Linked DNA regions of Danio rerio. The protein of the gene in region 1 interacts with the protein of each later gene in a pairwise test. Links are inferred from orthologs where the notes say so. Each region holds a gene or a part of one and is shown on either strand. Other genes may lie near its edges. The genes, in order: clk2a and srrm1.

Evidence for each region.
Region 2: the proteins of clk2a (region 1) and srrm1 interact in binary tests that used the Homo sapiens proteins (3 or more experiments, as listed by UniProt). The two-hybrid records come from large-scale screens. The link is inferred for Danio rerio from reciprocal best matches to the Homo sapiens genes CLK2 and SRRM1.

The regions. Positions count from the first base shown.
Region 1 is NC_133194.1:10,201,611-10,218,050, forward strand, and holds the start of clk2a (dual specificity protein kinase CLK2), read left to right. Parts: upstream 1-9,309; 5' UTR 9,310-9,422; intron 9,423-11,197; exon of another isoform or gene 11,198-11,488; intron 11,489-11,621; exon of another isoform or gene 11,622-11,984; coding exon 11,985-12,184; intron 12,185-14,778; coding exon 14,779-15,046; intron 15,047-16,440. Other genes in the region: setdb1a (histone-lysine N-methyltransferase SETDB1-A), read left to right, coding at 1-73, 160-248, 3,310-3,427. UniProt on the Homo sapiens protein: Dual specificity kinase acting on both serine/threonine and tyrosine-containing substrates. Phosphorylates serine- and arginine-rich (SR) proteins of the spliceosomal complex.
Region 2 is NC_133192.1:26,816,940-26,833,353, reverse strand, and holds the start of srrm1 (serine/arginine repetitive matrix protein 1), read right to left. Parts: upstream 8,989-16,414; 5' UTR 8,858-8,988; intron 5,831-8,857; coding exon of another isoform or gene 5,816-5,830; coding exon 5,660-5,815; intron 5,555-5,659; coding exon 5,460-5,554; intron 5,243-5,459; coding exon 5,048-5,242; intron 4,851-5,047; coding exon 4,659-4,850; intron 4,557-4,658; coding exon 4,440-4,556; intron 3,446-4,439; coding exon 3,270-3,445; intron 3,096-3,269; coding exon 3,015-3,095; intron 2,734-3,014; coding exon 2,647-2,733; intron 2,480-2,646; coding exon 2,338-2,479; intron 1,887-2,337; coding exon 1,794-1,886; intron 1,703-1,793; coding exon 959-1,702; intron 882-958; coding exon 707-881; intron 72-706; coding exon 1-71. UniProt on the Homo sapiens protein: Part of pre- and post-splicing multiprotein mRNP complexes. As a component of the minor spliceosome, involved in the splicing of U12-type introns in pre-mRNAs. Involved in numerous pre-mRNA processing events.

The DNA.
Region 1 (16,440 bases):
ACTGTTCAACGATGAGGACGCTTGTTACATCATTGATGCTCGGCAAGAGGGAAACCTCGGCCGTTATATAAACGTAAGCAAAAGCCGGAATTGTTATCAAAATTGAACAATGCTTTAATGGTACTTTAATTTTAACATTTTTACAATTTCTCTCAACAGCATAGCTGCAGCCCCAATTTATTTGTCCAGAACGTCTTTGTGGACACACACGACCTCCGCTTTCCATGGGTGGCTTTCTTTGCTAGCAAGTCAGTGTCTTAATTCTCACCAATCTGATTTTCATGTGAAAAGGGTGTAGATAAATCAGCCGTCCTTAAAAATGAGTGTTTGATTTGAGAACAGCATTTCATATAACATTAGTAAGTTAAAGAAATTTTGACACAATCAGGGGTGCGTTTCCCAAACAAAGACTTTAGTGTGTTTGACAAAATCATAGTTTCTCTGTTGCTGGTCCATCGTTTGAACCACGTTAGTTATAAGGTAAAACGTCCAAAAAGACGCTTTAAACGGGGCGGAGTCAGGGCCGGAGTGGGAATCCTTTTCAGCCCTGGAGTTTTAAGCCTTAGACCGGCCCACCTCAGTTCACCACTGACTATATTAAAATAACAGCATTTCCAATTCATTTCTTATGACACTGTCACGTCTTTTTTCAAGGACACAGCTGCTTTAGAACTTAAATGTTTTTCATAAATATGAGAACATTAAAGGGTAGCTAAATCTCCAACACTCCAATACTGTTCTCTCCTGCAATATCTGAATATATATTCTGTGCAGAATTTTTTTAGATATCCAGTCCTTTGTAACGGTGATCACACAAAAAATTCAAATAAAATATGTACACCTATGTCTTAACTCTAAACATAGAAAAAAAAAAAAAACTTGGGTGAGGATCAAATTGGGATCGGCAGCACTGAACACTGGACCACAATGGCGCTGTTACTCAAGTGCATTTGGAAGAAAAAATAAGTATTGCACCGTCATCTGCAAGACTCTTTTAACCACAGTATTACTTTCTATTGATGGTTTAATCTTTCTCCCCTTTTAATATTTCTGATCAAGTTATGTCAGATTTATTAGTGTAGTGAATCATCTGATTTTCATTGAGCAGGTGTAATATTCATTAATATTAATTATTCGAATTCTTCTATTCACCAAGGTGCCGCAGTTTAGGGTTGAATAATACATGATACATCATCAGTAACCTGCAGGCTGCATTTTGCCCACGAACTACGAGAAAATAAATAAAAAGAGCAAAGATGTGGCAAAGTAATGAAAAAAAAGAGTGTGGCTATGGTCAAATAAATAAATGAAAAAGTGCGACTGCTGACAGTGCAAGCAGCTAGGGACACTGGCCCTCGCGGTCAAAAATTGGCCCGGCCCACCAGGAATTCTCCCGGTCCTCTCGATTAGCCAATCCTTGCCTGGGTGGAGGAACAACTTCTTTGGAGAAAATCCCAATAAATGTTTTGTGTCTTTTACACACACAGGCATAAAATAATATCCAGTATTAGTTTTAGTAAAAACATACACTCGTTTTCCATAATAATTGAAATGTATGTAAATGGCACATACAGGGCGCATGTTTCCTTTACAAAGATAATTGAGAACATCACATATTCTATTCTTAAACATAAAATCATTTACAAAAGCTAACATATTATAATCTCATATATAAATAATCACGTTAAAGGCTTTAATTTATAGTAGGTTATTTATTAAGAAATAAAAAAACAATATCCTACTTAATATTAATAATGATAACAATAATATATTCTGTGTTCAAAATGGCATAAATGATTTTAAAGTGCACTACAAAAGGAACACAAATGACAGTATGAAGATCGCTTTATTTAATCATTTCACGTTTATATGTTGGAATGTTCTAAATGAATAGGGCTTAGTGGTGGAACTGGGAGTAGAACACAACCGGAACTATGCTTCTAACTACAGCTCGAGAGGTGTATTTGCAAATGTACAAGTTTGTGACGCAGTTTGCAAATGTATGTGTGAACGATGGATTTGGGAAAACCAAATCAGCAAACTATGTTTGTAATGATGGATCTTGCGACCTTAGTTGGCTATTGATGATTTTCTGAAACGCACCCTAGGATGTACAGTGCTCGGTGTAAATGATTACACCCCATTTTGAAAATGAATGTTTTTATCCATTTCTCAGTGAAAATAGGTCATATATTATGGTACTTTTGAACAAAGCTGATTTTTTAAAACGGATATATTTATTCAAATTAATATTTTTGTCACCGAACATCTTTAGAAATAGAAAAATTATTTAAATTAATGTGAAATATTGCTAATTACAAACTACAAAATGTCAACAATTTCCATATGTTTTTGTTTCTTTTTGATTTTTGCTCTTTTTCTTATAACATCAATTTGAACTACCTATTTTTAGACCATTTTCATAAGTTATTTTGTTTGATAAACTCCAGATTTAGCTTCAGTACTGACTAATCTAATGTATATATACAAATATATTGTTGTAAATTAGGGGTCACCAATCTTGTTCCTGGAGGTCCGGTGCGCTGCAGGGTTTAGCTCCAACTTGTCTCAACACACCTGCCTGGGTGTTTCAAGTATACCTAGTAAGACCTTGATTAGCTTGTTCAGGTGTGTTTGATTAGGGTTGGAGCTAAAATCTGCAGGACACCGGCCCTCCAGGAACAAGTTTAGTGATCCCTGCTGTAAAGCATCCTATGGAAAATATTAATTTAAAAGAGAGATTTGTGAAGAGTGTAGGGTTAGATGTAGAATTGGCCACTCGTGTTTATAGAAAGAGCAAGAGACACCAATTTGTGACTTGTGTAAAAATAACTATTTATATTAACTTTTTAATAGTGTATATTTATTTCTATTATATATATTCTATTATATTTCTTTGTTTTTAAAGTGTATTTGTGTAGCTATTATAGAGAATGTTTTGTTTGGAAATTATCTTAAGGGAAATGTTTTCAGGAACAGCTGTAGAATATCACGGACTCCATTGAAAGATCGTATATGATTGTTTATCAGTATTATTGTCATTTGTACATTTTCTTTATATTTAAATAATTCTTGTTAATTAAGAAACTGTTATGTTTGTAAATGATGTATTGACTGTTAATATCAATGTTTCGATGCATTTAGCCGATGTCACTAATAAGGCATTAAAACAAACAATAAATAAAGCGTATAGCACAATCTAATGTATAAAGTATTAATGATCTGAATTGTTAGCCATATATTATTGGTCATATAGAGGATTATTTGACGTGTTTTAAATGCATTTTTTGTTCCATCTCTCTTTACCAGGCGCATAAAGGCAGGTACAGAGTTGACGTGGGATTATAACTATGAAGTGGGCAGTGTGGAGGGAAAGGTGCTGCTCTGCTGCTGTGGCTCATTGCGCTGCACTGGAAGACTGCTCTGAAAATCAAACACTTTAACTCGTTTGTTATAGACTGCTTCACCAGCCAATCTGAAATAGTAACGGCGCTGTTCATAGGAGCGTCCTCGTCACATGAACCCAGTGAATACGAAAAGCATAGTAAAATTTATTAAAGTTTGTGTTGTTGCGTTTGTTTTTATTGTTTTTAATGTATACAGCAAATATGAATACTCTCAATGTAGTCAACGATGTAAATAAAATGTGGAAATATTCAAACTATTCTTCTTGTTTATTTGATCAAATATGTGCGGAAACCTTGGTGATTATGAATGATATCTTAAAGCAGGGGTGGCCAGCCCTGTTCCTGGAGAGCCACCTTCCTGCAGATTTCAGTTGCAACTCATATCAAACACACCTGCCTGTAATTATCACGTGGTGTTCAGGTCCTAATTAATTGATTCAGGTGTGTTTGATATGGGTAGCAACTGAAATCTGCTGGAAGGTGGCTCTCCAGGAACAGGGCTGGCCACCCCTGTCTTAAATGATGATTACGGTTATTTTTCTGTAGTTTTTTATTGTGGTAACTATTGTTGTTGTATTTGGTTAACTGAACAATAAGTGATGGAGAAAGTTACCTCATTGCATTACTTTTGTGATACTTTTTATTACCTAGAACTTTCTCTTTTTTAATACAGGAGTTCTGCAATTATAAAAATACACATTTATAAAAATCTTTCAAAGATAGTAGAAAAGCCTCTTGAGAAATTAAATAACTGTTCATATTACAAGAACCTCACAAGGGAAGTAACAAAATTTCGAATCCTAGTCCTGTGTTAAATTTTAAATTCATACCATTAAAGTCGAACCGTCGATTTAGAGTGCCAAGTTTTAATAAAGTGAAATTTAAAAAGTCATTTGCACATCAGGCTGTCTTGGAGCAGAATAATGTCTGTGTAAAATTAATATTATTTTTTTTTGTATGTTTTTAAGGTATTTATCATGCTGCTATGCAAGTCTGACAATAAGGTTTTGTATTATTATTATTGTATAAAACGCACACTATATAACTTACACCTCCATTTACCTTTAAATAAACATCAAAAAAATATTTTAGGATAATGTTATCTTAGAATTTCATGACCTCAGAGCTCTACATGCTGTACTGATTATTGAAAGTTTAGCTTATGTCCTTGCTACTTCAGCATTGTTTGTCTTAAATAAAATCCCTTTCTATTGGGACAATTCCCTTTTCCTTTTCTTCCAAGCATTCAAAATAATGAACACGTTCTATAATCGACTGCGTAATTCATTGTGAATTCTTTAATTTTAATTCAGCAATTTATTTTTAAAAAACGAATTCAACTAAAAACTAAGTCAAATATTATTACTCATTTTTTAAAGGTAATGCGTAGGGCCAGACAGAATCTGCAGACATTTTTTGCTATTTCTGCAGAGAATTTTGTAAAAAAAAAAAAATGGATTCATGCGGAATTATTTTGAAAGAATTATAACTAAAACTTTATATATGAAATAAAAAATAACACATTTTAAACTTTTAGTGAATGTGTACAATGCAAATCCAATTAGATCCAATTTATTTGGAAATCAAAGGCAGTCTCTTATATAATACATCTACTAAAAGAAAGAAAATATTACCTCACAAACTATATTGTACATAAATTACATCAACATTTTCATATTAGTCAATAATATTACTGAAATTAATTTAAAAACTGAATAAATATAAATTTACACACATATACGCAAGTAAATAAACAGAATCAATAATGGAAAAAGGATAGATAGACCTAAGGCAGTAATATAGGCTACGTTTTAATAGTAATAACAATATGCAGTTTCGATATTAAGAATTTTATTAACGAGGGTAATGCATACCGCTTATTAATGCAGACGGATCATGGATTCAGTGCCAAACGAGTGCTTTAAATCATATGTTGTTCTCCTTGTTTCCGTTTTATTTCAAATAACAGACCTATGAATGCTTAAAGTTTTAGGTAAAGACGTCAAATTATGCCCACACATGCAAGCTGACGCACGATCAGACATTTCATTTAACCGGTAAATAAATATAGTGAAATCAGCTTAACCGAGTCATCCCGCTTCACGTAGCCTATTACCCAACCAACATCAGTGTTAGGGAAAAGCTAATCTAATGTCATTTAAAATAATTATTTAGTTAATTTTTGAGGCATTACTGTAGCCAGAAAAATACCTAAAAAAGATACCAAAATTCCCATGTTATTACCGTGAAAATTGGTTAAATTTTGGCACGGATAACACGCAACTCAATATGCTATAGAACTTTTTTTTCATCATTTAAAATTTAAAAACAAAGATTTATCTTAGGCTATAAGTGTGCTTTTTTCGTGATATTGTAAACCATCATAAACCATTAGGTTACTAGGCCTACCCGTCATTTTATTAAATTATTAATTATTTTATTTATTAAGCCTTTTTTTAATAGCTTGTTTTCAGGTTATTTTCATTTTAGGGCCATGAGCTACAAGTCAAAACAAACTCGATATGTTGTATTTAGCTCCTAAAATAGATCTACAATATATTTTATGTTGTTTAATTTTGCATGAGCAAATTAAGCACTACACCTATTCCATTTATAACACTGCAAACTTGACTTCGCAGGCTGATCATCTTTAAACGCAAAAGGCATTTATTTTGTGTTATACCTTGACTGCTGCTGCATAATGGGATGTTTCTCTACACAACTGTAAAAGTGCGCTTTTTAGCAAAATGAAAGCAAACATTCAAAGGGTTCTGCGTTTTGTCAATTTTCGCTTAATTATAATAATATTAATAATAATATTAATAAATAAATTAAAGTATTATTTATAGTGTAGCCTACTGTGGGACTGTGCCGTAAACTATTTATTTTTATTAAAACATTTTTATTAGGCTACATCTTCCCGAATAGAACGGGGTCTCTGGACTATAGGACTAGCTTTAATCTCACCATTCTCATAATTCAATTGCTGTGTCATATATTTAAAAATATTTAAATGTGTGTTCTGAAGGTTGGAACGACGTGGGTGTTAATAATTAATGACAGAAAGAATTTTCAGTTTGAGTGAACAATCCTTTATAAAAACTGGGGCACAAACTCACTCTTTCTGAAGGGGCAAAGCCCCCCCCCCAAAATGCTGCTAAATGCTGCATTGTGTAACAATGGTACAGGTACACAGACGGTACTGCTACATCATAGTTGCCTAAATATGATTCTGAAATCCCAGCAAGACTCTCAAAGAGCGTAAAAGAGTAATAAGAGTTGAGCATGATGTGACGTGAATACTAGTTAGCTACCATAGAAATATACATTGGATGTCGCCTACCCTGATGTTGTCTATTCGAAGGAATGCGTCAATAGAGCCGCCATTTCAGTACAGAGTAGCGCTCGTTTGAAATGAACGCTCCTTTTAATTGAGCGTCATCTAGCGGTCACATAATCTAATGATTAAATATTATGACAACTTGTTCAACTTCTTTTATAAATATATATAACTTGATATTACTTTTCTTTTCACCACAACACTGTTCTTTTTCACAAGACAAAATTTTGTTGCTGGAAACTGCATTTTATGTACTTAAATTAGACTTTTGCATTAAAAGTCATTAAAAAACTCCCTATGATGTATGTAGCCTATACGTGCTGTAGTCAACCTTAATCCTACTGTAGGTTGCCATAAAACCAAAACAACACCCATTCTTGTCTTAGGACATTTTATTAAGCATATTTTAAAATAACAGTAAGTTCATGACATGTTAAATATATAGTATAATTTGCTGGTTTTAATCATACAGAATAATATTAAATATAGTTATGAAATAACCGTAACATAACCCTTATGTCTTAGGATATGTTTGATTAACTTTTTATTACCTACATAAATTGTTGACTAATGAAGGTACATTTATAACAACCATTTATTTGTTAGACTGTATTGTCAAACCATGTTGCATACAAATGCATTCAACAGACTTACATGACAGTGCATGGCTTTAGAGGACAAATAAAACACGAGACAGCTGTTTAGAAAGAGTATCGTTTATTTAGTTTGACATGCAAACAAGACAAACTTTCAGAAAACAACCCGGAAACATTATAACGCACGCGCTCGTGAATATAACCCGCGGTTGTCTTCAACTGTTGTCTTCAATAGTCCTTCTTTGCTCAACAGCTTAGCTGAAAAACAAAGCAAAACATTACAACAGTCTGACAAAGTGCAAAGAGCATAGAATCACCAAGAGGCGACACTCTACAATTTGGGAAACAATAACGCGCTTTTTGAATAAATTAAATATAAACAAAGCAGCTGCTGTCCATCGCGACAGCAATGAGATCCAATGCACGGCCGATCGCTTTCACTTCAAAAAGGCGGAATCCGGGGCTGTTGCTCTTGGTCATTCTAAGCTCTTTGCATAAAGTTTAATCATAACAGTTACCATGGTGTCTATTTCAAACTATAGTAAACTAAAGTTTGAAACTATAGTTTAAAATAGACGATGAGTGGGCCTCGCTACTCCCACCCACCATAACCCTCGCAGCGAGGTCCCACTACCGGCCCCCCGTGTTTCCCTGAGGGTCCTCGGGGGTTGTTTGTTCCCTGCCTAGGGCTCAAAGGCCGCCTCGCCCCAGGGAGTGCACGAGAAAACCGGGCGCCAGGCCGTGCCAGTATTCACTGGATGTTGCTCGGCGGCACATTTCGAGCAACAAACACGTAATCTTCCTTGCGATATTGCGTTTATGTACGCAAACCACAAGGAACTACAGCACAGACGGGCCCGAGTGAAGCTTCACGAAGCGGACTTCGTGAGATTGGCGTGGCTCCACTCGTACCGTCGGTATTGAACTCACCTTGGTCAAGTACAAACAGCAACACCGAGCGAACTGACAACGCTGACAGAGAGCACACGAGCTTTATAGGAATGCAGATGCAAATTTTTACAAGGCACGTCACTGCTATCTCGTTGTCATGGCTAGCGCTGAAGAGGGCTCACCTGATTGGAGCACAGACTCGGGAATCTGCGTCACGGCGAGTTGCCGTCTGCCGTACACAAAAATATATTAAATATATTCAGTATATATATATTTTTACATTTTTGGTGCTGTGTAATATTCTGAGATGCAGCAAAATATGGAGACAGATGAATATAATTGGGTATATGCCGAGCTAGTGTTGTTCCCATATACTTATATACTTCCGGTGACCGGTTATTGTGAGTTTTTTTTTTTCAATTTTTTCCGGTTCCTTTTACAGCACTCATGTTGTAATGTAATTAAAATACATTCAGTTAAATAAACTTTGGCATTCATTTAGTTGTTCAAGCGTAAAACGAGACAAAAGGCCTTTTACTCGCACTCGCCCGTCAGAATCGGCAGGATAGCGCAGTCGCTCCAATGCTAATATTATAAAGACATGGCGGGGAAAATGTAATTTAATGCAGTGCTTCTAGTACAATCTGAGGCCCACTTCATATCTGATATCACTCAGCCAGTGGAGATCGCTGATTTTTAAAGAAAACAGACCTTAAAAACGTGCAGATTTTTCCGTTGGCATACAGTTCGCCGGAAGCGCTTAACCCAGGTTACTTGGGAAATTAAAAGTCCTATTAGCATGCTTCAGCATGTACCCTAAAATCCCAGAATGTCTTTCGAAAAAGAGTACGGGTTTAACCCCGGCATCCTGGCCAAATTTACCCACTGGCCTCTGTCCATCATGGCCTCCTAACCATCCCCATATCATAATTGGCTTTATTACTCTTTCTTCTCTCTCTGTGGTGTGCGGTCTGGTGGAATATGGAACTCATGAGACTGTTCATACTGTCCGAGTTGACGGTGAAAGTGATGCGCGCGCGCGTATAGGTATAAAGACGCGTCGGGAGGAGGGGCCGGAAGTGTTTTTTTCTTCACCGTTTAATAATTAGACTTGAGTGAGAATTTGGGATCCGAAGCGTCAACACGGATTTTCTTTGGGATAAACGGACAGGGCTGGCTGCACAAACGGTGATTACGAATCATTATTTCGCTGTCTGTCACTTTCCCCTTCAAATATTCAGGAGCGTTTTAGAGAAACGGTCCGTTGAAGATTAGAAGATCTCAAAATGGCCGTCGACGAGGATAGCAGCTAACTCTGCTAAAAAAACATCACATTTAGCTGCCGTTTTCAAACGTTGCGACATCATCTTGTGCGTCGTGTTTGCACCAAAAACGACAGTTCACATTTATGCCATAGAGACGAGTGATACATGGCGACTTTACGTTAAATGAACGAGCATAAAAATAGCGATTAGAAATAACAAGTTAAGCCAGCGTTAGTTGGTTAGCTTACCTTGTCTTTACAGCAGTTTTCAGTCATAATTCGCTGGACACACTTCTACATGTTATTACACTTCTGTTTTTTTTTAAGACATCGTTATTTCACAGTTAAAAGCATTTGCGTGTTACCGCTGTGTCTGTGGTTTTTTGGCTAAATATAGAAGTGTGCTCTAATAACTGGGACTTGATCTAGTTTGCGGCTAATTTCACAGGCAAACGCAGCATTTCAAAGTGCTGTAAGTTAACGTTATGTCATCTAGCTTTCAGATTATTTGTTTGAATTCTTCGTTTCAAATCCTCTTCTGGTTCGGCTAAATGTTTATTTTTTAAATCTAATTAATTTTGATTTTTTTAACTCAAAATTATTTTCTATTGCTTTACTATATTATTTATATATATATATATATATATATATATATATATATATATATATATATATATATTATATTATATTATATATGTTTACTAATGTGTATAAAGATCCTGATAAAATCTAAAACTGGTCTGTATAATATTTTTGATGTGTAGTATTCAATGTTTTGCAGACCTGAGGCGTCTTTTTTTCAGTTTTTAAGCACTGCATGGCAGTAACAAAGTGCCATCCATGCAAAAAATATAAATATAAAAAACAATATAAATAGTAATGTGGTGTTTTTCATTCTCATGCTAATGTCTAAGCCTGTGCCAAGTGTCGTCTTAACACCTGCTTTATCATGTCCCAAATAACTCCCCACAAATGTCACACTTGTCCTAAATTCAATAATAGTGAAAATAAAATACAGAAGATACCTCCCCACGCCCCCATGTCTATTGTTTCTGTTAAAAAGTTTTTCATTAATTCATTTTCTTGTCTGCTTAGTCCCTTTATTAATCCGGGGTCGCCACAGCGGAATGAACCGCCAAATTATCCAGCAAGTTTTTACGCAGCGAATGCCCTTCCAGCCACAACCCATCTCTGGGAAACATCCACACACACATTCACACACACACACACACTCATACACTACGAACAGAAACGCCAGCTGAGCCGAGGCTCGAACCAGCGAACTTCTTGCTGTGAGGCAACAGCACTACCTACTGCGCCACTGCTTCACCCTGTTAAAAGGCTAGGTTACCCCAAATTGAGAATCCTGTTATCGTTTACTTCTCCAAACCTGTTTGACTTTCCTCTGTTGAACACAAAAGAAAATATTTTGAAGACAGATAAAAACCTGTAACCCTTTACTTTCATTGTACTTGTGTTTCCTGCTATGCAAGTCAGTGGTCACAGGTTTTCAGCTTTTTTTTCAACAGTGGAAACTCATAAAAACCACTTAAGTGTGAGTAAATGTACATTTTTCTGATCTCTTTAATGACAGGGCTAGATAATTTGTTAGATATCAGTTTGAAAAAATAGAATTAGTAATAATAATTAGTTGAAAATTATTTTTTATTTAAAAAAAGTTCGGAATTGATGAGACGTCGCATTTTGGTGTTTACAACAATTAATCTAAATCTTTCTTGTTTTACTCATATATTGACGTTCTATCGTAACTGATATATTGATTTAAATAAAAATAAAAAAAACATTATGCTTGTTCTTATCTGTACTTATGGAAAATTGTAATTTAGGTATTATACAAAAGTTTATATTTTAAGTGATTTTTTTTATTTGACATGGTTGAAATAAAACAAATTACATTTTTAATACATCCTCATCCTGTATACACAAAGTTTTATGCATGTAATGTGCATATGGGCATTTTCACGAACAGGTAATGATTTATTAAAAGTTTCGTACAAAAATTAATTCTAAATCTATGAAGAAAAAACAAAAAATTAAGAACAACTTTTACCACTGGTATGTAACACAGCACTGCCTTTAGTATACAATGTTTGTTCCATTAGGTGCACAAAGTTCTCCAGAATGGTTCGGTAGTCCTTGGCAGTAACAGGCCCATCTAGCATGAGTATTGGGCATAGGGAATGCCATGACATTGCAGCCCAAACCATCACTGATCCACCCCATGCTTCACTCTGAGCATGCAGCAGTCTGGGTGGTGCACTTCTTTGGGGCTTCTCCACTCTGTAACTCTCTTGGATGTGGGAAAGAGAGTGATGATGGACTCATCAGAGAAAAATACATTTTCACATTGTCCACAGCTCAAAAGATTTTTGCTGTTGCAACTATTTAAATGCTTGTTTTACTTTTTTCTTTTGATTTTTTTTGAAAAAATTTATTAGTATTTTTTCCTTCTTCAACTCAAGCAGATGCCACACTCCAGGCGGTATCCGTCCTCGGAGAGGGCCAGCCGCAGCAGCTACCAAGATCGATATAGAGAGCGGGACAGAGACAGAGATCGAGGAAGAAAACCTCGACATCGCCGCTCTCCAACCTATTCTTCCAGCAGTGAACGTGAGAGGAGAGCGAGAGGACACAGACAGGACACCGGCTATGCCAGATCCAGGAGGTATAAACATTTCCATTGAGTAGTGCTGGAAAACAAACAACCTGGTTCACCAGTTTATTATTATTATAGAGCTTAAAAGTCCACTCACTAACAGGAAGGCCTAATCTCAATTCTACCCCTTAGCCCTTCCCCTTGTCCCAATTCTTTTTAGCTTAGAGGCGTAGGGCTAATCGCAAGGGGTAGATACCCCTTAGAATGAAGATTTTTCAAGACCACGCTCGAAACCAAGAGGTCAGAAAATTTCCCAGAATACACCAGCCATAGTTGCACCCGGAAGTAAGGAGATCCACAAATTATTTTTATTGTCATTATTACAACTTTTTACAACAAACAAGCATGTTTTTATATATTTATAACCGCGTTTGTTTTACCGTCATGCTTTTAAAAAAACCTGTTAAAATAAAAAACGCTAAATTTTACGATCTATAATCGCTAATAATAACTCCTGTACAGCAGTTCCACAACATTTTGACACCTGATGAGACTCGAATACCCTGTCAGTAAGGTCTAGTGGCTGGAAATGAGCTTTTTACAGTGTCTGCTATAGTGTTAATGTTGTTTTGCTGTGTGTTTACATACAGTAGATGAATATGGCCACGGTGTAAATGCACAGTATATTTATCATCTTATTGCCACATTAGATCATTATGAGAACATATTTATCTTCAGGAAGTCACTGAAGGCATATATTATCAAAAAAATAAATAAATAACACAACTGGAATAACTACAGCTGATTGTCTGATCTTATATAAAGCATGAGATCGCGATGACGTGTGCAGGTGCTGTCCCAATTCTTAAGGGTACATTTGGAAGCCCTTCCCCTTAACACTCTGTTTTAAGGGCCAAGCGGGAGGGCTACAAAAATATAATTGGGATTGGGCGTAATTGAGCAGATTTTTCAAGTAATATGGTTGCCGTCTGTCCTAACCTCCAAACTCATCAGTTTAGTTGTACTGTAAATGAAAATTGGGTAATGATGCTTTTTTTCAGTGAAAATTGCAATACTAATATTTTCTTGATTTGATTTCATAAATCATTTCTAGTAAATAATTTAACAAATGTTAAGCTACAAAAATGTCTTAAGCATATTCAGCATATTAGAATAGTTTCTGAGGGTCATGTGACACTGAAGTTATACTTCGGTTTTTCATTACAAAAATAATTTGCTATAATATTTATAATATAATCATAAAATAGCATAATATTGCAGATTGTACTGTATTATATTTATATTGTATTGAAATTATAGTCATGTTATTATATAACCACAGCTCTGCAAACAAGAACAGCAAAGATTATCTATTTATTTATTTTTAGACAAAATAATTGCCTTCCACTAATTATGCATCCACACATTCAGTATCAGTAATATCTACTAATGCATAATAGTGTTATTGCAATTTAAGGGCGCACTTGCACTATGCTGTCCGAACCATTCCCAGGCCCGTTTTCCAGATCGTTTGAGAAGTGTGAGTGCTCTGAATTGGGGTCAGGCACGGTTCAGTTGGCTGGCCCTGGCCTGGTTGGAAGGTTTGCCAGAGTGCGGTTCACTTTGGCTTCGGCGTGGTACACTTGTAGTGTGAGTGCAAAGCGCGCTTGAGCCCGAAACTGAAGACGAGTCGTGACTTTTATGGGAGTCTTTCATGTGTTTATTAATCATTCTCACTGTTCAATGAACGCAAACAGACGTAGATTATTAAAGATGCAAAACCCTCACTGCATGATAGCTGTACCTTCAGCAAACCTAAATCCTGCAGCACGAGGACTTTGATTGTTTATGAGCCTCACAAGTGGCTGATCTGTTTGGTGAAATATTTGACTGTCACTGGAATCTCAAACAACTAATACGATATAACCAACGAAATCTCCACTATGCTGAGCGAGAGTGCTTCTTATTAAACAGCGCTTCAGTGATGGTGTAAACGTGCTCAGGTGTGAATGCAATGCGAGTGCTTCGGCCCAGTTTCAAGGCAACTGTACATAGGGTATACTTTCTTTACATAGGGTACACCCCTATACACTTTCCCATGAAAGTGCTTTGAATTGTGAAGTTTTATTTAATGTTTGACGTAATCTCAACAGAAAAATGGAGGGTGGGACAGACTATTCCCTCCCATTTTTAAAATACAGCCAATAGCATTTTGTATCACAGATCCGCTGGTGAGTGGTTGAGCTCAAGCGCATCAAATAAAAAGTATCTTGAAGGGGGCGGGGCATGTCAGATACTAGAGAGCATTTGATTGGTCAGAAGATTTAATGAGAATCTAAATTATAAAGTGACGTGAAAAAAAGTGATTGATCCATTTAGACGTAAGTGACAAACTGCACACTTTAAGTGTTTATATCTTCGAAGTGCTAATATTGTCTATTTTGTAGCACACTAGCTTGTAGATATCCTAAAAACTAACATACTGACAATACAACATCTAAAAAAAAAAAAAAGATTTGAATTTCAGGAGACCTTTAATGACTTTAATTTAAATTGTATTGCAAATGTTTTTGTCTGCTATACCTGATCAACAACTTATTAGGAGTTTAGCATTTTATCAGAGGTGCATCTGATTTCAGAGCTCTCTTTCATCTTCTCCTCAGCTACGACAACCGTTCTTCAGACCGCAGGCCATACGACAGACACTACGGCGAGAGCTACCGGCGCTTGGACCACAGCAGGGAACGGGACAGGGATCAAAACAGGGATCACCGGACGCCGAGCAACTACTACTCTCGCGACGCCTCGCCCAGCTACGACTTTCGCCGGGGACGCGACCGGGACCGCGAGGACTCATACCGGAGGAAAGGCAGCAGGCGTAAGCACAAACGAAGGCGGCGTAGAACCAGGTCCTATAGCGCATCCTCCTCGGTGAGTACTTCAATACCCAAGCCTGCTCTTTCCCTCCCCAAATCCCTTCTTCTCTCTCCACCTCTACACGCTCCTGTCTCTCTTTCCCCATAACGCTGTTCTTTTCCACAGCCCCAGGATTTGGTAAGTATGAACTCCTTTGTTTTATGTTCTTCTTTTTGTTGATGTTTTGTCTTTTTTTAAATAGTGATAGTCCATATGTTGGCTTTCAGTGTTTTATAATGGAATTGGCCTTGTGTTTAACAAATTAATGTAAGGCTCACATTAATCACTGTAGATTTTATTCTAAATATGAATAGTAATGCTTTTATTGCAAGAGCCTCTTTAATTATGTTATAAATCTCATCCATTCTCTATCTACACACTAGGAATGCTCCGATCGATCAGCCAAAGATCACTATCTGCCGATAATTACATTTCGTGACTTAATCTCAATTCATTAATTAAAAGAAACTATTCAAAAATACACAACAAATTTTTAAATATAAAAACTATTTAAAAATATGCTAATTTGATTCATAAATTCAAAACATGATTACAAATACACAAATTTTTAAATGTAAAAAATTTGTAAGTTCAAAACACAATTCGTAAATATGCAAATCCAATTTGTAAGTTCAAAACACAATCCATAAATATGCAAATACAATTCGTAAGTTCAAAACACGATTCATAAAAATACAAATCCAGTTCGTAAGTTCAGAACACGCTTCATAAATATGCAAATCCAATTCGTAAGTTCAAAACACGATTAATAAATTTGCAAGTCCAATTTGTAAGTTAAAAACACAATTCATAATTATGCAAATTTAATTCGTAAGTTCAAAACACTATTCAGAAATATCCAAATGCAATTCGTGAGTTTAAAGCAATTCATAAATATGCAAATCTAGTTCGTAATTTCAAAATATGATTAATAAATATGCAAATCCAATTCGTAACTTCAAAACATGATTAATAAATATGCAAATCCGATTTATAAGTTCAAAACACGATTCATAAATGCACAAATACAATTTGTGAGTTCAAAACACGATTCATAAATACACAAATACAATTTGTGAGTTCAAAACACGATTCATAAATGCACGAATCCAATTCATTTAGTGAAAATCTATATGATTTTTACTTGTGAATCTGCAAACTGTTTACAGATGTACAAATTGGATTTTGTGAATTGTGCTGTGCATGTATGAATTATTATTATTATTATTATTTATTTTTTATTTTTTTGAGACTGATCTGGCTCCATATTCATACAGTCTAAAGCTGCTTCTGGCCATGACATGTTCACACCTAAATAGTTATAAAAGATATTTTAGGTAAGGTGAGCTCTACTCTTAAGGTTCATATTCGGAGGGAAAACATGCTTAATGCATTATAAAGCTTGAAGC
Region 2 (16,414 bases), on another chromosome or scaffold:
TGTTTCTTATCTTTCTTGTGTTTCTTTTCTTTCTTCTTTTTCTTCTTCTTACCACCTTCTGCATCAGAGTTCTACAGAACAAACAAAGATGTTTAGCAACTGTAATATACACTTTTTTTGCATTAAGGGTGTTCACACTGGTTGTTCAGTTCTTTTGGTCTTGACCAAATAAGAAACACATTTAGTATACATATAATTTAGTATATAAGTTGACTTTTATTCACGCTTGCTCACACTGTATGTGGGTGCATTTTAGACAACTTTTTTAATCAGTTGGAAAGGGTAAGAACTTACAAATAGTGCACAAGTAGAATTTCTCCTTTACACACACAATTAAAAATCTGTTTCAAATCCATTGCCTATATTGAACATTACATTTTTAACTATACAATAAGGAACACAGTGACTATGAAAAAAATTAGGTGTGCATGAAAACTGTCCCTGAACCTCTTTTTGGTGGGCATCAAGTTCAGATAAGAGCAATCACCTCAATAAACAGCATTAACAGAGCAACCGCACACGATTATCAAATCAAACTTTCCAAGTGTGAACACACCCTATTTTGCATAAGGTAGACCCTAAACCAGATGTTTTAATAATTTTATATTTCTAAAACAAAAAGGCTGAAAACTCTAGAAGCCAAAAAACAAACCAAAGCTTTTAGGATGCAGAGGTGTGGTTCTCGCTGATTGCAAGAGTGGCATACCTTGTTAGGTGAAGGGCTCGGGGAGACACTGCTGTTCTTTTTGGCAGGTGGAGGTGGAGAACGGCTAGTGGAGCGAGAGGGTGAGACTGAAGCAGGCCGCTTCTGAGCCGGAGGAGGAGAAGCAGATGGTGAACGTGAAACCTGCCTCCTTTCTGGCGGAGGACTCTGAGAACCTCTACAAATGGACAGCAACAATCAAACATTCGCACATCTGCATTACACAAATAAAAGCACCGCTCTATAAAAACATACCTCTGCGATTTGCGCGGTTCTGGAGTGCGGGAAACCCTGCGAATGGGTCTGGTGCTGTGTGATGGTGATGTCTGCCGTCTTTGTCTCTGCGGGGAGGAACCAGAGGCTCCATATCTACCTGGAGGACTGGAAGACACTCGGGTAGTGTGGGCAGGGGGAGAGGACCGGGTGTCTCTGCCCCGTTGGGCTGCAGGGGGATTTGGAGAGTTTCGGCGGTGACGAGGAGGAGGTGAAGCAGAAGAGGGTGGAGTACGTCTTTTTCCTGGACTGGTGCCACGACTCCTTTTGGGGGATCGAGAGGTGTGACGTTTAGTCACAGGGGAAGGTGACCCTCTATGCTTGGGCATGGGAGAAGGAGAACTTCTACGTTGCGGGGCAGGTGAGGGAGAATTTCTGCGTTTAGACACAGGTGAAGCACATGTTCTACGTTTAGACATGGGTGATGGAGACCTTCTGTGTTTAGCCACAGGGGAAGGCGATGTTCTACGTTTTGACACCGATGGAGATGTTCTGCGTTTTGACATCGGTGATGGAGACTTTCTGCGTTTGGGGGGAGGTGATGGAGACATTCTGCGTTTGGGGGGAGGTGAAGGAGGTATTCTACGCTTGGGCATGGGTGAAGGAGACCTTCTTCGTTTGGGGGGAGACCCTGATGACCGTCTCTTTTGGGCTGGAGAAGGGGAGGGGGGACTGTATCGACGCTGAATTGGGGGAGTAAATCGCCGGGGAGGTGGAGATGGAGACCTGAGACCGGAAGGAGAGAAGAAAGAAGACTCAAAGCAAGATGCATTTCAAACCAAATCCAGAAGAGCTCAAGAACTCAGCTGAACCTTACCTGCGTCTTGGGGGAGGAGAGGGTGACCTGCGGCGGCGAACAGGAGATTGTGAACGATGTCTACGTCCAGGAGGTGACGGAGAACGTCTTTTTCTGAAGGATAAGACAAGATTTTCATACCAGGATACAAGGACATCTACTTTTTTTTTTTTTTTAGAATAAACTCCATTTGTTTAAAAGATTAGCAAGTTTTGGGAGGCTTTGGAATGAGGAAAAGTAAATGTAAAATGTCACAACTTCACTGGCTGCATTGCATTATCGATCCACTAAAAACTTGCATGTTGATAATCTACATACTTCACGTTTAATAGCTTATAACATAAGCGGTAGGGGTTAAAGTTTCTCATTATTAATAATGCTTTTCTCTACACAGCCTTTTTAGTGCCACATTCAATTTGGATGGACATACATTAGGACTAATAAAGGTTTTTTTTTTTTTTACCCAAAAGGGGTAAAAAGTAGATTGACCGAGTAGATTGACCTTTTAGGGGTATTGTATGTCAAACACAGATGTAAAGCACATGCAAACATTGTTGACTTGTACCTTGGGGATGCATCTCTGTGCCGCCTCCGTGGTGATGCAGGTGAATGACTCCGTCTCCTCCTGATTTCACCATTCCTGGCACCTGCACCTCTATTCTGCCTCCTTGGACCTTCATCTTCAGATGAAGAGGATGAACCTGTGTCTAAGTAAAAATAAACCCAACATGACAACAAATTGAAACAAGTACTAGCATATAATATCCACACAACTCCTAGGTGCATGTACAGGTCTGAGAAGGAGGATAGAGAGAGTCAGAGAGAGAAGGAAAGAGGACAAATAAGTGTGAAGTAAATTTTAAAAGGTGGTAACCTGAAGAGGATTGCTGATTTTGTCTGCGATACTGACGTCGCTGCTGGACAGAATCTGCTGTTGACCCTTTGCCCAACTTATCCTCCTCTGAAACGCAAAGCAAAGTCCTTCAGTGCCCAAGAAACAGCCTCATGCCCAAAAACACACACCAATGATATACAAAAGCACAGCCAAACACCTGTTACATGCACCACCTTCTTAATCTTTGAAGCCGCCATAAGAAACTTGTACCACAAGAGTTGCTATACAATAAGTTTTCCATACGTAACAGTTTTTCTAGTTTAAAAGCCAGAGAGACTTTTTGACAACCTGCCAGCTTCTATAATGATATTCATTTCAATCTGCAAGCTTGAAGAGCCAAGCCTCACCTGAATCTGATGCATCAGATCGCCTGGGTTTTGGAGAGGGAGAGCGAGAGTCATTTCTTCCACCAGGCCTGTGCTTCACAGCTGAAATTTTTAGATGCATTACAGTCAGAATCACTTTACTGCCAAAAATATACTATACTCAACATGACAATGAACGCTTCAGATTTACACAACAATGTACACAATCTATAACCACAGGTCATTTATTTTCATTTAAGCCATTTTAAATAAAAAGAATTGCATTCTATGATGTACCTGAAGGGCTGGTGTCTGGTCCTGAAGGACTGCGGCCTCGTCTTCTTGGGGGGCTGGAGAGGTCCGTGCGACGTGCAAGTTTTCTGGGTGGGGTCGCTGACCCTCGTTTTCCTGCTCTCTTGTGGGGCGACCGAGAGGAGGAGCTGCCTGAGGAGGAGCGGGAGCGAGACCGCCGCCTGGTGGACCAATAAAGTATAGGTGAAATTCGGTAGTTGAGATGCAGATGACAAAAAAAAAAAATAAATAAAATAAAATTATATATATATATATATATATATATATATATATATATATATATATATATATATATATATATATATATATATATATATATATATATGATTGAAAATACAAATTGTTACAAAATTCAGTGTTAATTCGATAGGACTTAACAGTAGCATTTAAATAATTTGAGCTTCTTTTTTAACATTAGCCAATTTAGCATTTTTTTTAACAGCCATTAGTAGGCCCACACAAAATCTGCGCCACAGAAATCTGCAGATTTCCAGATTTTCAGTCCATCATGTCCATTTAATTACTTGTGAAAGTGAGTGTAAATTTGTATTTATTTAGTTTTTAAATAATTTCACTAATTACTGAAATATAATAACAGTAACATATTAAAACGTCCATAGGATTTATTGACAATATAGTTTGTAAATTAATATTTTCTGTCTTTTAGTAGAGATATACAAGAGACTTGCTTTGTTTACTAAATAATTGGATCTAATTGGATTTGTAAGGTAAGCATTAAATAAAAAGTATTTTTTTATTTCATATATTAAGTTTTTAGTTACGATACTCCTAAAATCATTCCTCAAAAATACTTCGATTTTTGTTTTTACTAAATTCTAAGCAGAAATTGCAAAAAATGTTTGCAGATTCTGTCTGGCCCTAGTCAGTCATATTTTAACATTAGTATTCAGTATCTCAGGTTTCAATAGAAATAATTTTAATATGATTATTTGGCTATGAAGAAATACTGCATTTCATTATAAATCATCCTTGTTGCTTGTTTTTTTTCTGGACACTTTTTTCAAATGAAAAATTCAGAAGAACAGCATTTATTTGAATCAAGTTTTTTTAATGGTCTTCACTATTACTATTTGATGAATGGATCCTTGCTGAATAAAATATTGCTGAAAAAAAAAGTGAGAGAGGGAGACTTACCTGCGAACAGGTGAGCGGCTACGTCTATGTCTAGAGGGAGGCTGGCGTCTAGGAGGACTCCTCCGTCTCGGAGAGATTCGCCTTCTGGGACTCGTTCTCCGGCGAGGAGAGAATGACCTACAAGTAGAGATATTATTTAACCCATAAATCACATTAGCAGGTAAACAAAAATAAAATCTAAGAAAAAAAAATAATGCGACTTCAAATAACATTTCTCACCTAGAGCGGGATCGAGGTCGTCTGCGTGAGCGAGGTGATCGAGAACGAGAGCGGTGGCGTGGACGATCTTTGCGCCCATCCTTCTCCCTGTCCCTGGGTTTAGGCCGGTCCTCTGATTTTGACGTTTTGTCTGGAGAGGACTCTTTCACAGGCTCTGACACTGAGTCCGGCTTCATTTCAGTCACAAGATCACTAACAGATGAAAATGACAGTTTATTATATCAGTCTGGAAATCCACAATGCTACCAAAATTCTGCAATTTTTAGGTCATTCTTTTAGATTGAAAGTGAAACTTGCATATGAATCTGAATCTGTTTTCTTAAGCATTTAAGAGGACAATGGTAACTTGAAGCAGTAAAATCTAGAATATGTCAGATTTCCAAAGTCACCTGGTAGATGAAGCTTCCTGAATGAGTGGCTCTGGTTTGGAGCTCTCTGACTGGTCTGGTTCTCGCTTCGGTTCTTCTTTATGATTGGGTGGACTGGAAGGTGGTGAAGCGGCTGGGCTTATTTTTCGTCGAGGAGAGCGAGAACGAGAAGGACTGGATTTACGATCACGCTTCACAGGGGAGCGAGACTTTCTCCTGCAATTAAAAGAGAAGCAGAAAAAAAAAAACGCGATTTAGAACAAGGTTGATTGTTATGCAACATTTTATATCATTTACAGACAATTGTGACAATTTGTTAGTCGCGATTTTTTTAAGAATAAATATTTATTTTATGAATTCAAATTCTGACACCACAAAAACAATAGAAAAATAATGGAAAAATCAATGAATAAGGATCTAGAGCAAAACCAACCGTTTAGGGCTTTTTGACTGAGCTCTTTCTTTGTTCTCCTTCTCCCTTTTATCTTCATCTACTTTTTTTAGAGAGGCGAGTTTCTCCTGTTCAATCTGAAACAAGCAGAAGGAAAAGTTTAATTTTAGTATAATTACAACATCAGTTAACACAAAACCAATAAAAATGAGCAAATGAGATCAGACCCAGTTCTTCATCACCTGTCTCTGTTTGATCTCCTCTTTCTTCTGCTCCAGGAAGGCTGATGGGATACCGGCAATGTTCTCCTGGGCGCTTAACAACAGTGGCCAGAGGTCTTTCATGAACTCCCGAGCATTCTTTCCATTCAGAAAACCTGTCAAATTAATCTGCATCATCTTTCCATCTGGATTCTGCAACACAAAAAGCAGGGGAGGAAGAGAGAAGGGGAGAAAACCAAGCAGTTAATACTGACACCGAACAAGAGCACAGAATTCTGATAGTCTACCTAGACCTTCCTTTCCTGAACATCAGTAAACAGCTGCTTTTCAACAAGAGCCCAGTACCTGCGGGCCTCAAAATGGTTTCTATAACCAACAGCCACAACAGAATGTTATGCATTTATTTTTATTTTTTTTACTTTTAAACCAATTGAATGAAAAAAGTTAAAATCAAGAACACTTTTAAAGTGTATAAACTCCCTCTGAGCATGCATTACAAGTTTACAAGGTATCATCTGAACTGAGATGAACCCTCCCAGTTCACATCCCCCCGTCAAGGAGCAATAAGACCCTCCCAACCACTATGGCTGTCTCATCCTGTGCAATATCAAACTCCTGAGAGATAGAAACATTACAGTCCACAAACAGAGTGCATCAAAACCCCACAAAGCAAGAACAGTCCAGTTGTCTTCAGTGTGAGTGGCGCAGGCTCTGTGGGCTGGGGGGGCGGAGAAAGGCGCTCCATTGGCTGGCCTCCGCCTCACTACCGCATCACACTCAATCACCTTGAGTTTAATGCTATATCATTTATCTAAATTGCAAGAGACGAACAAGCAATAATGAGTACACAAGGCATAGAAAAGGTTTTATTAACAACAAAATGAAGAGGAAAATCAATCCTATTAGACCCGTTAACTAAGACACACGTGCTAAATCGTGCTCCTGAAGATGTGCACCAGAGTTCGGTTTTAAGAAGAGCTGGAGCAGAAGTTTGCAATGAAGTAGATCTTCAAGAGCAGGACTGAGCACCTGCTGTTCTAAAATAAGGCCTATACAAATGTGTCTGACTTTATACAGGTCAAGCTCTCTCAACAGGATCTGTGGAATAATTGAAACATTTACTTCTTTTTTTAGATGCCAAAGACTTTTAAGTATTGACTTACTTGCATTCTACAGCAATGAATTTATATTGGCACAATGAAACCATGCGAGGAAGAGTGATATATATATCAGTTATCTCTGTGTGCGCTTGCATAAAAACATTTTGAAAATCTTATATAATTATGGTGCAGGCTCTTTAATAAAATACTACAATATTATCCAGTAGGGCTGTGCAATTAATCGAAAATCCGATTTTGGCTTCCAACAATTATGAAAAACCATTAATCGAGATGAACGATTATTACATTATTTACCGCCCCCTTTCCAGTTGTAAACATTTGTTGCTCTTAAAAGCACGAACTAAACCGCATGCTCCTGTTTGTGTGTGTGCAGCGAGCACACACAGTCAGAAGCATGCGGTCAGCATTCGGTCTCATTCGCACACGGTGACGAGCAGAGCGCACATCTAAAGTCATTAATGTGAGCGTTTTAATTTTCAAATAGGCGTCCATACGCGGTGTTTAGTGATTATTCATATTAACCCTCATTTGTGTAATAAACAAACGAGTTGAGAATCAAAAGAAACGTAAAAGCGAAACCTTTAAAGTGACAGCGCACTATTTCTGCTACCGCCTGTTTCGATCAGTATTAATCAAATAAAAAAAGGAGAAAATCCCTTACTGCTCTTGAATGAAGGACTTTTGTAGCTTAAGTGTTATTTTATTGTATTTATTTCTCTTACCTTTGCAGGGAGGAAAATAACTGTTGAAGTCAGAATTATTAGCCCTCCAGAATATTAGCAACCCGTTTCCCCCAAATTTTGTTTAATGGAAACATTTTTTTTAAACACATTTCTAAACATAGTAGTTTTAATAACTCATTTATAATAACTGATTTCTTTTATTTTTGCTATGATGACAGCACATGATATTGGACTAGAAATTTTTCAAAATACAAGCATTCAGATTCAAAGTGCGATTCGAAGGCTTAATTAGGGTCATTGTTAAGTCATTGTGTAACAGTAGTTTCTTCTGCAGACAATAAAAAATATACATTGCCTTAAGGGGCTTATAATATTGACCTTAAAATAAGTTTCAAAATATTTAAACCTGCTTTTATTCTAGCTGAAATAAAAAGACTTTCTCCAAAAGAAAAAAATATTAGAGAAAATACTATTAAAATTCCTTGCTCTGTTAAACATAATTTGGGAAATAATTATTTAAAAAATTCACAGGAGCACTAATAATTTTGACTTTAACAGTAATCATTTTGAATAATCGTGATTACAATTATGACAAAAATAATCAATCGCAAAAAATCAAGTAATGCACCCTTCATTTAAATATGCGAGCATATTTACTATACAAAAAAAAAGTTAATTAATTGTTAGCAAGTTAAAATGTTTATTCAAGATTTTGATTTTAGAGTGATTCAACAAACTTTTTATTCTTTTCATCCTGGCAGTCATAATCGCTGTAATTAAATTACAAATAACTGTAATTAAATGTTTTATTTTAACAAAGAAAAGATGACTAAATTATTCTCTTAGGTATATCATATTATTCCACAAACACTGTTGATTAAGCTCAACTTGAAGAATTTCTTCAAATTACTATATGGCTATGCCATGACAAATTAAAAGTATGTTTTAGACTAAGGAAACACCTTAATGTATTATAAATAAGAGCAAATACCTCTCTGGAATCCCAGCAAAATCTTCCTGAAAATTAAATCTGTACAGACTAAAATAGCAACTAATACAGAGAGCCTATCTAAAACAGATAAAAAGGGTCACGTCTCTTTTTTTCGTACTGTTTAAAGGCACAATCATACAAAAAACAAAGTCTTTAATAACTGACAGATGAGCAAGTAACTGAGACTCAAGTAAAAAAAAAAAACAAGTCTCTTACACTACCAATGTTGTACTGCATTATCATCCTACATGCAAAATCATCTTTTCATTTTATTCCTTAATAGTTTTCATTTCCATAAAAGTGATAAATCAGGCCTTTATGTTTAAGATGTACTGCTAAACTTTGACTAAAACAGAAAGGCACAAATGATCAAGCTGAAATGACTCTACCACTGGCACAATGTCAAGCCCTGCTCATAACTCACCTCAAAAAATAAAGCTCATCATCAAGGGAGAGTTGGATTCAGAGAGACTTTGGGCTCAGTTGAGATCTAATTAGGAGTTGGTGCTATACTTCAGATGCAAGGAATAAGATCCATATTGGTTCAGGCCTTTTAAATCATAAATCACATCAACATTAGAACATTGCTGTTCAGAAGGAACGGTGTCACAAATCATTTCTTCAGAGAGAAATATATCTTTTTACCCCCTTTTCTGTCTTTTTTTAAATCAGGCAGACAGTTTAACACTGTGATGTTAGATGTTTCTGCTGTTACATCTTCACATGACAAATGTTTCAAATAACTGTCAGCGGTTATTCATTGATCTTCAAACCTTCTCTTCTTTCCAAAGCACAACACATCTAATATAGACTGCAGCATGTGTATAAAAAAATAAAACAAGAGCGGGAAGAGCAAGGTGGGGGTCTACCTTTTCCTCCAGCTGGTTAAAGACAAATTCAATGACCACATCATCCTCGAAGCCAAGTATCTCTGTCACACGCTGGGTTATCCAGGGCTTGATGACTTCCAGGTTGACCTTGGTCATATCCACCTAAAACCACATCATAAAATAATCATAATTACAGGATCTTTACTTGTATTGAGCTAAAAATGGTTTATTGTCAAATTACAAATCAGAAATAACCTAAAATGATGATTTGCTTTGCAAAATTACTTTGTATAAATACCTAAATTTTTAGTTCTTCTAAATATTACTTGCAGAAAAAGAAGCCCCGTTTTCACTGCTATAAAATGTGTTTTTACATGTACACTAGGGCTGCACAATATATAGTTTCAGCTTCGATATTGCAATGTGTGCCAGAGATGCGCGGTTGGCGGTTATAGCCGCGGACTCCGCGGATAAACCGCGGATCGGGCGGATGACGTTACGAAAAAATAATATTTTAATTAAATTCGGGCGGGTGGCGGGCGGTTGTACTGTTTTTATATTCATAGCTGGCGCACCAACGAAAAAGCCTAGGACTGACTTCACAGAATGGGAGGAGGAATCGGATACATTAATTCTGGATGTAGTGTACAAAAGTATTCCTCTACAAACTTCCGTATAGACGGATCAGCATAGGAAAATCTACTTTCCTTTTGGGAGAAATAAGGCCAGGCATTCCCATGACTACAGCACCTTTCCAAGAGAATTCTATGCATTTCAGCAACAAGTGCTGCGAGCGAGTGCTCCTTCAGTGCAGCAGGGCGCAGTGGCTATGCAGGCACTCCCGTCTGAATCCTGACACTGTAGATGCCATTTTATTCCTGCATTGTGCCAAGAAAAAATCAAACTAGACCTAAGGTCAGGCATATTAAACCAATTAGCCTATGTTATTTAGGCTGCACATATGTTCAATATAAACTTTTGAGTTTGGTCAGCTGATAATTTTACGTTCATATTGGTTTAGCCTATTCTATTCTAGACATGTTGGCCTCGCTTTTACGTTCCGAGGCTAAGGTTATTTTGCCAGAATTTCTGTCGCAAATTTAATGGCGTAGTATTTCGTTATGCTTCAAGTTTGAGGGGAATGGGGATGATCCTAAGTCCATGGGTTATTGGGGCACTTGTCATACATGCACTTAGCCTTGTCAGGTTCGCTCAAAGAGGAATGGCATATCTATTTTTCTAATTTAATTTCTAATTGTGGGGGTGACTGAGCCTACAAGGCTTAGGCACAATATGACGTTTTTATTAAAAAATTTTCAACTGTTTGTCAAAGCATGCGACAATAGCCTATGCCTACATTAAGATATTTATGTTATTTTTTTTTTACTGCCTGTTGTTTCTTTTGGCATATAAAATAGGTATTGTCTGATAGAGATATCAATAAAGGTTAATCTGTGTCGCAGAACTGTGTTGTTTCCGATTTCTACAAGCTCAATAACATCCAAAGCAAAAAATAAAAAATAGTCGAAAAACTGTGCCCATTAATTATATGTGGAAGGCAAGCAGGTACATTTTTGGGGTTGCTATGGACAACTACAAATGTAAACATTATTAGGCTATAATGCAAATGACTTATTCTATCTATTTACTAAAAAATTAAGTGAAATAGGCATTTAGTAGTAGACTAAATAGCAGCATGTTGAAATGATGTGTCAATGCGTTTTCTATTAGGCTACAATAAAAAAAAAAAAGTTGTACAGTACAGTGCGTTTAATTTAGGCTATTTATTTACTTTTGTCCCTGTGCGCCGATTGGAGACAGAGTTCACTGCTGATATTCTGAGAGCTCGGGTGCTTCTCATTTCTTATTTGTGCATCCTCGTTTCCTTTCCTTGCTTTCTTTCCTCGTGTTTCCACCCCACCGGGATAACGTTACGAGGGAAGGACGCAAGGAAAAGACTGAAGGACCGAGGAATCGAATCAAGTGAAAAGACACGTCCTCGTATCTTTAGCGTAACTTCAAAGCGTCGTCAATTAATGACTTGCACGTTTGGATTAGCTGCATGTCTACATTAAAGTCATTCTCTATTATATAATGATCAATGAAGAAACATTCATTTAATAAAAAAAGGAATAAGCCATTCAAATAAAGAGCCCAATCAGCAGATGGCGGGCGGGTGCGGTTTTAAAAATTGGTCAAAAATGTTAGTGCGGATGGATGGCGGACGGATGATGAATTTTGTCATGCGGTTGCGGATGAAATAATAGTCCATCCGCGCATCTCTAATGTGTGCATCTGCAATAGTCACATTGCAAGATATGCATAGTTGAGTCTGAATTATAGTTGGCAGGAGCTACAGAATTGTATTTAATCACTCTATTTATATAAAACTTATCCGATGTATAAAAAAAACAGTTTTTTTTAGATTGTTTGTCTCGTTTTTAATACAAATATCTACATTTCAAAGCAAAAACAAGATTATTTTTCTCCACTGGAAGATAATTGGTTTTTTTTGTTTTTAAGAAAAACCTATTTTTCATTATTTAGCTTTTTTTCTTCTGAAGGTTAAAAAAAATATAGCTTCTTTAAATAAGTATTTTTAAGGGTTTCTCCACCTTAAATTGGAAAGGACAGTGGTGGATGCAAACAGGAAGGCATTGGGAGCAAAGAGAGGGGAAGGGTTAGAAAATCGCACTCAGATCGCTGTGAGCACCTTGGCGTTTTATGTCGGCACGCTTATCCACTAGACTATTGGTGCTGACTAATATTGTTATTTGATCTAAGAATGAAATATCAAAACAAAAAAGATTTTTTTTTTGCATTGCGATTAGTCAATTTCTGTACCTGAATACTGTTTATAACAGGGATTATTTCTGAATACCCAGAAATCATATAGAGATATTCAAACCACCTGGTGAAACTATTAATATTGCAATATTTATCACAGAAAAATAAAATATCGCAATATCAGAATTTTCCAATATGGTGCAGCCCTAATGTACACAATTTATAATTACACCACTTTTCAGACCTAGGACGACCTGTTGGTTGGAATATGCACTGTGTAATAACCTTGAACAATTTTCAGACTTTGCAAAAAAAAAAAAAAAAAGATTTACAATTTAGTTATTTATTGAGAACACTCTTAATGTAATGTTAAGAGAACATTTAGATATGATACTTTCCAGGCTTTAAACTAAACAACTAACGTTACAGTGAAGTTTAAATCCCATCTGGTCAGGGCTCTTAAACTACACGTCACTAATAGTTACTAATGTATCAACGATTTTGTAACATTATAGATGTTTTTACTGTCACTTAATGCATCGTTTGTGAATCCAAGTATAATTATGTTTAACTTTTTCTACCTTTTTCTCCAGACATTCTGCAAACTTCAGCTGCTTCAAGAGTTTCTTGTGTTTGTTGCTGAAGCGGTTATCCTGCTCCGCACTGGTGCCCTGAAATCATAGAAACGCATCATTAAAACAAAACGTGCTTCGAGAAAACAGGAACAAAAAATTCATATGGTTACTTTTCTTCCATTGAAAGGCCGAGGCAAAAGAAATGCGAGTAGTATTATTTCACCCTTTCAGTGGGATATGAGTAATCATGTATATACGCAAAAACTAGACTAACGTTACACAGATTATTAGGCTAACGTCGTAGCACAGGACCACTTAATTTCGGTTTCAGTCTGTATTACACATGCGTAACATCGCTAATCCCAGAACCGCTGACTTTTTTTAACGTTACATTTGAGTTTATTTGTAACAACAATTGTGATAATAGGTAATTAAACGCGCCTATGTCTTCAAATCTGCTGTTCCTGTTAATCTGTGCGGTATTTTCTGGTTACCTCACGCAGCCGCCATTACAGCCACACTCCAATGAACACATATAAAATATCCTTAAAACAACGAGCCGGTCAAACAATTGATAAACAATAGATGCATAACAACACACTCGATGTTTATAGAGCATAATTTGTAAAAGAATATAACACTTACGCGGAAAAAACCCGCGTCCATTTCTGTCGTGTGTCAATATGGCACGATGTCCCACAATCCACTGCGACACGATAGCTCTCTGACCTCACTTCCGGAAGTTGAGCAGTCATGTGCCTAGAGACGGTCTTTAATTTCATTATTTTAAAATAAGATTTTTATAAAAATTAGTTTTACGATATTTCAATGATAATGTAATATAAAACTTATTTAGTTACAGTGCTGAAGAACTAGCAAACATTGTAATGTAAACCATTAACTTTACAGGAGTTGGTTTCCACTATACATGCTATTAACAAACCAGTAGGCCTTCTTATGTGGTTTAAAAACGAGTTTTGGGACATATTCATTTAGGATTTATCTTATGTACATTTTCCCCCAAATTCAAAGTACTTATCTTGCCAACAATGGAACTCAGCAGAAACTCACACTACAGATTCATTTAAAACCAACACTATTTCCATTATACGGAAATTAAAGTAAGCATTAAAGTAGCATTGTAAATTCTGTTAGAGTTTTGGAAAATTTGCTTTATTATTTGAGCTTTTAAGAAAATTATTTGAATAATAATAATATTGCTTATATTATTTGATCGTTTGAACATTTGAATTAATTTTTGTAAGCAAAACACTTCCATATCTTTTGTACAACTTTTTGGTGTACTTTTTTTAGCATATGGTCTTCTTTGTTAAGGCTGTTTTCCAATACATTTAATTCATTGCAGTAAGTATTTGAGACTTCTTGGAAAAATAAAATGTGATAAACATTGCCTCATAGATCCATCTTTTTTTAATTAATTTTAAAACCCATAATGACAAAAGACATAGACGGTGTGCTGCTTTAAAGTCGTTTATTTGACATACACTGCATCTTTCCAGTTCTGAATGAGAATCATTAGCAACTTGTGAGGTTGAGTGATAACTGAACATTAAGGCGGTTTAACACAATATCTTTTGTCCAGAAATCACAATTCCTTCTATAGAAGGGAGACTTTCAGACAGGCTGAATAAAAAAAAACACTCCCTTAAATGGTGAGGCCTCTGCTGGTGTTTAAGCCAGCAGTGTTGCTCTTATGAGTAAACAGAAATGTAAAAAATACATTTCACTTCACAGTGTATAAATAATACATCAGCAGCGCTGATAGATTAAGTACTTAGTTCACACCACCACACTATACATTGTGAATCCAGAGCCCTTCGATAGCTGACTCTAAATAAATAAAGCCATTACAGATCATAATGGGCTGAACAGAACCCAAAATTCAGGCAACTGTGAAATTCTCACAGATAGCAGCTGGAACAAAGGCAATATTGATTTTTTCCTTGATTCACGCTAAAGCTAGTAGTGGTTTAAAGCTTCTTCTACCCATGAATGTGTTCAAATCGAGGTGGACTGTTTACATCTTGCACACAATACATGGTCTGGAGCACTGTAGAGTGAAAGATATCTAAAGGTTTTACTGCATTTGTGCAAATGTAGCATCTCTGGGCCATTCATTCCTTTCCAGAAAAGTTGTATTTTGATTATAACATCAGAACTATAAGAGTCCTGAAGGTGAAAACTGGGGCCAGAATGTTTTTCAGTGCTGACCTTGCTAACTATGTCTAGTACATAGAGTAATATCATTGCATTAATATTGCTATCATGTTCATCATCGTCATCATATCCATTTGCATTTGTCGTTTCTTTTTCCCCCCAACAACTTAAAAACTATGTACTGTAAGAGTAGATCACAGAGAAGATAGACAGAGTCTCCTGAGCAGTATGAGAGAATGTAAGCTTTCGCTGTTGAATTACATGTTTTCTTCACAAGCATATGTTTGTAGAGAACTGCCTGTATTAGCAGCTCTCTGACTGACGGAATGTGGTCCAAAGAATCAACTCCCAAATTTGAGACGAGGAGAGTTTGCAAATGCTGGTGATCTGTGTTTCAGTCAGTCCCTGAGAAGACCTGCTAGCTGACAGGTAGTCCAGCATTGGTTCTCTTTTCGCGGATGGAGGCCAGCATGTCTGTGACCAGCTCTGACAGACTGAATGCAGGCTTCCAGCCCCAATCCTGACGAGCATTAGAATCATCAAACCGCACTGGCCAGCTGTCTGCTACAGAATGAACATAACACTTTATGAGCATGTTAATTATTGCAGTTATCAAGGCTTTTATATTTGTATAGTTGTACTTCTGAGATGCTAAATTACATAAACATTCTAAAAAAGAAAACTGATCAAAATTAGAGAACTCTTCCACATACAATCCCTGTTATAGGTATTAATCTGGCTATTTGTTATCATTTCCCTAAAGTTCCCATAAAATAAAAATAAAAATGTGTAGATGTATTTTCAGTCTGTTAGTTTTAAGAACATCTGTATGCTGGTGTGCACTAAAACAGTGTTAAAATTCACGTTTAGGAGATACAAAACTGGCAAAAACATGTAAAGCTTGCAGTTTATCACTTCCGTCTAAATGGATCATTGTTTTTTTCTTTTCACATCACCTCATATTTCATTTGCTTATCAAAGCTTGACCAATCAAATGCTCTCCAGTGCCTGACAGCCCCGCTCCCTTCAAGATGCTTCTCCTAAGCTTTTCATTTGATACACTTGAGCTCACTCTCACTGGCAGATTTCTAGAATATTGCATCTTAAAAAGTATCACTTGCTCATTCAAGTCTCTACAAGGCTGGTTGTCCAGAACAGACAAATACAAGAGAGCACAGATTAATGCAGAGAATCCCACGGGGCAATAAGTTTAACGCTTTACGATATGTATTGGCATACCCTTTTTTTTTCTCAGTAGTGGAAGCCTTCATAGTTATGTAAACTTTAAGTGCAGTGAATGGGAGAGTATAACAAATAATTTTACTCTGTTTGCTAAAGAAAAACTCCATGATGGTGTTATCAAGACATTCAGAAAAAGCAAAAAAATAATACAATTTTGCAAGACTAATAACAGTCCTGCAGTTCAAACGGCTCACATAATCTGTCATTTGTTTTTAGTAATTTGATGCAAACATGACATAATACATACATAAATATAATTGCCGACCACAACTGCTCAATATCACAAACTTCTAATCAGCCAATCACATGGCAGCAACTCAATGCATTTAGACATGTAGCTGTGGTCAATAAAATCTTCTGCAGTTGAAA